Linked DNA regions of Astyanax mexicanus. The protein of the gene in region 2 interacts with the protein of the main gene of each other region in a pairwise test. Links are inferred from orthologs where the notes say so. Each region holds a gene or a part of one and is shown on either strand. Other genes may lie near its edges. The genes, in order: shfl and tns2a.

What was found.
Region 1: the proteins of tns2a (region 2) and shfl interact in binary tests that used the Homo sapiens proteins (3 or more experiments, as listed by UniProt). The link is inferred for Astyanax mexicanus from reciprocal best matches to the Homo sapiens genes TNS2 and SHFL.

The regions. Positions count from the first base shown.
Region 1 is NC_064410.1:4,704,688-4,708,617, reverse strand, and holds the start of shfl (shiftless antiviral inhibitor of ribosomal frameshifting protein homolog), read right to left. Parts: upstream 3,178-3,930; 5' UTR 3,019-3,177; coding exon 2,992-3,018; intron 611-2,991; coding exon 475-610; intron 1-474.
Region 2 is NC_064420.1:27,588,211-27,592,140, reverse strand, and holds the start of tns2a (tensin-2), read right to left. Parts: upstream 2,939-3,930; 5' UTR 2,857-2,938; coding exon 2,737-2,856; intron 1-2,736. UniProt on the Homo sapiens protein: Tyrosine-protein phosphatase which regulates cell motility, proliferation and muscle-response to insulin. Phosphatase activity is mediated by binding to phosphatidylinositol-3,4,5-triphosphate (PtdIns(3,4,5)P3) via the SH2 domain.

The DNA.
Region 1 (3,930 bases), on a different chromosome or scaffold from region 2:
TTTCTCTGCTTTCCTCCTCTCACTCTGTTCTTCAGTTATCACGACCCCACAGGAGAGAGATACCACCACAGAGCAGCTATTAATATTATTATTATTTGGGTGGGGGGTCATTGTTATTCTCAGTTATACTGCAGTGATTAGCACTGATTAGCATGGTGGTGGTGTATGAGGTGTTGGTGTGTGTTGTGCTGATAGTACAGTGAGTGGATCAGATACAGCAGTGCTGCTGGAGTTTTTAAACACTGTGTTTAATCACTCACCACTATCCTCCACTCTATTACACACTCCTACCTATAGTATCTGCTCCACCTTGTAGATAAAGTAAAGTCAGAGACAGAAGCTCTGAATCTCCTTCTATAGTCTTTTCTCAGTGCCCGCTGGATGCTGCCCACAGGATGCTGCCCGCAGGATGCTGCCCACAGGGCGCTGCCTACAGAATGTTGATGGCTGGACACCCCCTTCCCCTCCCTTTACCTCTGTCTTTCATAAGGATGATCTCCATTGCAACCATCCGGTGGTTGTTCCTGTAGCGCCGCATGAGTACAGTCGCCTTGTCCACTGGAATCTTCCCGTGGAAATTCTCCCTCAGCCGACGGACGCTCATTTCCAGCTGTAGTCAGCAGAACAGAGCAAAGCACTTTTTCACATGGCCGTGCAGAACAACAAACACTTAACAGTACACACATGCAATAGACCTAATAAACAACGTTTAGGAGCAAAGGTAACAAACTATTACGAATCTGTCATCCAATAATCAGCAGTTCGCCCTAGGGTTGCAGCGGTAACCGGTTTCACGGTATACCATGGTATTAAAATGCGCGGTTATCAAACCGTGTGAGTTTGCTTATTACCGGTAAAACGCAAGCCAGCGGAGAAACTCACCCGCGCATGCGCAACTCTGCTCCGCTTCAGCTGCTCAGCACACAGCGGTGAGAACAGCAGAAAGTGCATCAGACTAAACAAATCTCTGTCCGCCTAAAAAAAGGCTAAACTAAAATCAGCAGTGTGGGACTATTTCAGAGACCCGCCGAACACACCCGAGGATGGTTATCTGATTTGTAATCAATGTGGCCGTAAAGTCACAGCTAAAGGTGGACATACGTCAAACCTGTTCTCCCATCTCCAAGAACACCACCCCGCCGTGCAGCGCAAAGTATGTGTTTAGTTTATAATTTTAATCTGAACATAAATAAAACCTCTTTGTAGTCGTGCACAACCCATGCGGTAAGCGCCCGCAAAAGCGCTGAGTTATCCGAAATTTGGGTACGCAGGTACAGGTGTGGAGTGCGTGCTACGGTGGATTCACGTGTCCGTGTAAAGGTCCTGGCCGGACTGGATGTGAAAGACGCCATTCATTTACATGCGTTCATTTTCAAATTCTGACGTGCCTGTTTTTCATATGTTAAAACCAGACTCTGTGTGAAAGCCTTGAAATAGAAATCTCTATTGTGAGGATCATGTCAGAAATAAATCCCCTCTTTCTGCAGTATGTGGTTATATACCAACTTGGCATTAAAACGGATGTTTACAACAGTTGTTGATCAGACACTGACCCAGGCTCAGTTTATCAGATATTAAATAATTTAAACTTAAATAATTGTACTGAATAGTGTAAACACAGGATCTTTACTTCTTAGAGGACATGTAATGTGTGACATATGTGTGTGTGTGTGTGTGTGTGTGTGTATATATATATATATATATATATATATATATATATATATATATATATATATATATATATATATATTTTATTATTATTATTATTTTTTTTTTTTATACACCCTTAATGCCCTTAAGAGTAGTGGAAAAACCTGGTTTCCTTCACCTAATGGTGTACAGCTTATTTTTTTTAAGGAGACATTATCTAAATAGTTGTTCCAGGTTTCTACAATAAATAGTTAATTGAACAAAAAACCTTTGTTGTAATTTCTTTAAGGGTCAGTTTAATAATATATGTAAGAAACTGTGATACCGTGATAACCGTGATACCGCGGTATTTTCTGAGACGGTTATCATACCGTGAAAATCTCATACCGTTGCAACCCTAGTTCGCCCACTGAACTCTTTTCTTATCAGCTCTGATTAGTTTAAACAAATTATGATTGGCATAATGAAAAATATGTCTTAATGGGTTGACAAGATTATAAGTTAAACAAAAATATTATATATGGCCACATCTTGCTCTCAAAACAATTCAAATTCTTGATGGAGTGGATTCCACAAGATGTGTGAAACTTTTGATGATACTTTTGAACATTCTGGTCAGGGGTGTGGCATATCGCTTCATTCACAATAATAATATCACCAACATTTTTGAATAGGGTGAACAATATTATACCCTGAAATATCGTTCCATATCACCCACTTCTAATTATCACATCATGGTACTACTTTTTCTGTTTTTAGCAAAAGAAAAATTCACACTGTTCTCATTTCCCATTATATATATACTAGAGACAGATTATATCTGTGCAAATAAATGCTCTAAATGACAATATTTTATTTGGAATTTGGGAGAAATGTTGTCTGTAGTTTATAGAATAAAACAACAAAGTTCATTTTAATCAAACATAAACCTATAGATAGCAAAAACAGAAAATCTGATTCAGAAACAGATGTGATTTTTTTTTCTAGAGCTGTAGATGCTTTAAAACTAACCTAGCTGTAAGTAAACAGAAGGAGTAACAGGAACTAACAGGCCCACACATTACTATAACATATGTTTAGAGAAGGAAATGAACTATTAAACCTCTAACACACACAGTCACACACACTGCAGCTGTGCAGACATTTCTAATAAAGAGAAATGATGTATAAAGTGTTCACACTCTTCACAGTTAACGTTACCTAAACCTGTACCTGTAAAACCCCGCTAAACCCCCGCAGATAAACCCTGTATTTACTTCAGTTTCCCAGCAGGTAGTTTAGTTTAGTTAGCTGTGCGTTACAGCGCGGCCTGCGGGTCCTGCAGCGATTAAATCAGCCTACCTCCACCTCCTCGCTGAAGCGGCTCATTTCCCCAGCGCGTTAAAGTCCCTCCACACCAGCAACTCGCCCACGAACGCGCCCAGACGCCGAAACACTGCGGTGAGGATTTGTTTGTACTCAGACTCCGCTCTACTTTCAGTTTCATATCGGGAGCGCTTTCCGGAAACCGCCGCTAGGTGGAGCCAGAGACTGAGCGACACAACGCAACTCTCATTTTTTCGCTTTAAATCGTGTAAAAAGCGCTTAATTTTCAGTTTAATTGAATAATTTAATTTAATAATTTGTGAAATTAAGCTGTGTTTCCTGTGTAATTTAGTGTGTTTTCGAGCTCCTTCTCTCACGAAATCCCCTCCAAACCTCTTAAGGAAGCGCACGATTTCTAAAAAAAAAAAAGAGAAAAAATATATATAATAAATAAAAAACTACATTTCCCATGGTGCTGTGCACACATCAGATTTGCAACAGAAGTCAATAATCCAGAATGTCATGATACTAATTAATTCGTTAATTCCCACTAAATATCTCCATATATCCAGGATTAAAAATAAAATAAATAAATGATACCAAGTGATCTCTAGTAGATATAAAATGGGAAATAATAAGACCAGTGTATTTTTTTCTTTTGCTAAAAAATAGCAAAAAAACAAAACTATATTTTCACGATATTCCAAACATGTTGGCGATATTATCGCGTACGATACAGTTGTCATCATTTTTAGCATTTGTTTAGACCTTATTGTGGTGCGTCATTGTCAGTGTAATTAAAAAATTAATAATAATAATAAAACAATATATATTTAAAAATTAGTCAAATATCTAAGCTTTTTTAGTTTTTATTTTATTTTTTCCATTAACATCCAGTTCTTGAGAAATTCGTATGTTTTAAATCGTTATAAAATCGCTTGATTTTCAGTTTAATTTATTCATTTATGGAATTAT
Region 2 (3,930 bases):
TTATTTATTTATTTATTTTTTATTCATTGTTAAAAAAGAAAAAATACAGAAAATAACCATAGAAATAAAACGTTTTTTTCTTTCTTTTATGTAAAAGAAAATATACCTAAAAAAAAACTGTCTGTGGGGCGTGGCTATGTTAATTAGATGTTCAGTTTAGAGGGCTCACCATGATGTAGTTTCATAGCAGTTTTATCCACCTGGCTGGGTTTTAGACTGTGCTAATATAAGTGGTTTTACTCTCTGAGCACTTTTTATTGCTTTAAATGAGCAGAGAGCCTGTTAATAAAGAAATTCTGAAAAGATCATACAGTTTGTCACTGAATGTCACTGAATGAGTCAAATACACATTAATTTGTGAATCATAAAGCTCACAACCTGAAAGACAATAAAGTTAGTTAAAAAAAAGGTAAAATAACATTTTTTCCCTGCAGAACATTGATTGAAATCGCTTTATTGAAGAAATTTAATTGTAAATATGCTCTGAAAAACTGTAAAATACTGGTGTATGTATGTGAAACCTTTAATGAAAATGCATGTGAATCTACTGGTTTTGCACTGCATATGAATGAAAGTATTTTACTTTAATTTTAGGGTTTTTGTTTGGCAGCCGCTGCTGCCAGTAATTTGACCGTTTTTTTTTACGGTTTTATTTTTTACAGTGTACAGTGATGTAAGTTTATTGTTAACACTGTTAACCATAGGATTTTCTAGTTATAGCTACTTTGTTAAATGTTAGTTGAGCATCTGCGAGGCAGCTATAAAGGACCATCCAAATAAATTGTTACCAAAATTTCTGACTTAAAACATAGAAATTCTAACATCTGAGTTTAATTGAAATGTATCATCAGTGAATTCAACCATAGATGAAACTCCTTTTCTTTGGAGGGCAGGGGATATAAATTATATGGAGCTTCACAACATCCAAACTTTTAACTTTTATCTTTATCTAAACATATTATACTACTCATTTTTGTATGTTTATTATCACTGTGGTTGTAATATAGTACTGTCAACAGACCTTCTGTACTATATATAAGTTCTAATGCAAAGTAACCAAAGATGTTGTCATAAAAAATATGTTGAATACTGCAGCTGCATGATAAATTGTAAAAAAAAAAAAAAAAGAAAGAAAAAAAGAAACTTCTGGAATGTGCAACCAAGCCAAGTGCCGATTTTTTTTGAGAAGCTTAAACTGTAACTGCTTTATAACACATCAATAAAATAAAATAGTTGTGACACATTTCATCACAATAATGTTAACATACAGTATCATCATATCTCCCACCTGTGATCCACATTATTCCAAATTACTTTGGAGTGGGCATTGAAAACAGATCGCAACAGTGCATTACATCATGACCCAATCAGTTTCAGTGTTTAGACGTTTTGGGTTCACACACACACACACACACACGAATTTAAGTCCAATTCCCAGGCCTGCATCAAAAGTTAACAACAATTTTGTGACATCATCCAGAGGCCCCAACATTCCCACACTCTGCACCATGTGAGCATCCTCTGGGGACTGAACCATCAAACATGAATATATACTCTCTCCCTCTCTCTCTCTCTCTCTCACACACACACACACACACACTCTGCTTCCATTATTCCCACTCCATAACAACATCATTCCTTACTACATCAACATCCTAACAGAACCACGTCCACAAACTGTACACATTGTAGACATATGGGGAATAATTCAAAAGCTATTTCTGCAGGGCTTAAAAGTTCACAAATACCAGAAAACACTGGAACAATGCATCGGTAATGAAAACGAATGCTCCACTAAAGATGGAGAACATCTAAAACTCTGCTCTGGACTTATGAAATGTAATCTGTATGAGGACATCTCTGTGAATTGACTCATGCCTCAACCGAACCCAAAAACCCCAAAATAGAACAATACTCAACTGTTGCAACTATTGCGACTGAGACATTTAGAACAGGCCTCGGACAACTTTCTTTAAAGGAACAGTCAGTATAAATGCTAGTGATATATGTGAAACAGATACAGGAGTCAGGTTGCCAGATTGACACAAAGTAATCAGTAAATATATACATTTCAGTGTCCAAAATGCCCAGCTATGGTTAGCGAACCTTAATGAAGCTCAGTGATAACCTGTTTAGCAGAAAAATAGCCAGAACCACTGTTTGCTTGCTGCTGTTGTTCTATACATGGCAAACCTGTGTGTGGAACTGGGAATGGGGGAATGTTGGTGGTCAGATTAATAGGCTACATCCCACATAGATTTCTGTGATGTATCATCCAGAGGACTCAACATTCCCAAACTCTTCACCATGTGTGAGCATCCTCTGGACTGAGGGAGGGACTGGACCATCACACATACATACATATACTCTCTCTCTCTCACACACACACACATGCACAGGCTGTGTTCCATACCTGCCAACACTGTGTGTGTAAATGACAGTGGGCCGAATTGGAGGCTGGAAACTTTTCCACAGAGATTTCTGTTATGTTCCACACAGTTCTAATAAGAAAATACTGGCTGAAGCTCTGCTGACTTGAGCTGTAGGTGCTTTAACTCTACAGTTAAACTCATGTATCCTTAATATCTGATGGCACATCCTGAAATACAATCCTAAATGGTCCTTTAAAAAGTTGAGTAGTGTTTTAATAAAATTAAAAACTTTAAATTGCCAACCAACACACACTACATCCATACATCCATACATCAGTACACTGCAGCTGCTGCAGAAACTCACCTTGGTGAGCCTCATGTTGCTCCTGCTGTCTGTCCTCTCCCTCCTCAGAGTGCCTCTGATCGGTTCTGGTTCTGGCTCGGGCTCGTCCCCGAAACAGTCCGTACCCAGAGCGCAACCCATATAGAACCGTGGACCCTGCAGGTCCCCCCCTTCCCTTTCCCGTTTCCCCTCTCGTCCTCTCGCGCTCTGCCCGTGTTTTCCCGAGCACACTAGAGCAGCTGTTTTTGTCGGCTGACTTGAGGCCCTTCCCCTTCTCCTGGCTCTCATTCAGACAAGTACACACACACACACACCACCACACTCACTCTCAGCTCTCACTGCCCTGTTGACAGTGTTGGGCACGTTACTTTGAAAAAGTAATTAGTTATAGTTACTCGTTACTTCTCCAAAAAAGTAACTGAGTTACTAACGGAGTTACTCCACTATAAAAGTAATTAGTTACCAGTAAAAGTAACTATCGCATTACTTTTTATTATTCGCCCGTCAAAAAAAGGAAATCAATTATGCATTTACTATTATTATTAGAAAAATAACAAAAAATAACAAACGAAAATAAACCCAAAATGTTGACAAAAATATAATCTAACGAATTTCAAAAAAATAAAACGAAATTCTCCACACAACCAAAGAAAATTACTAAAACTTGTAATACTGAAAAAAGCGGAAAAACGCGCCTGGGGATGAAATTTAACAAACCAAGCCACACTCAAAAGAAATATGTATATATAAAACAAAATAATGGACAAAAACAACAATTTAATGCCCGTTAAAATGGTATTAATATAACAGCTTCACCAAAAGAGAATAGAGCTTAGATCATGCCCAAAGACCCAGCCGGAGCCCGTGCACATTCTGCCCAAGCCCGAACCATAAACTGCCATTATGAGCCTGACCCGATCCGCCCCATAAACTGTCTGTTTTCGGGCTGATTGAATGAGCGAAATATAATCAGAATTATGTTAATTAACACTGTAACATAGAAGCATAGAACTATTATTTAATTTAAATGATTTTTAAGAACAGCTACACACAATGCTGCAAGTCAAACGCGGAGGCGTTCACGTGCCCCCAGAGCTACGTGATTACAGTTTTCATTTTTATTATAGTTTAATTTTATTTTGTTTTTATTTTTTCTGTTCATTTTAGGGTGGGCTTGCTAGCGCGAGCGCTTTACACAAGAACTAACGGACCATG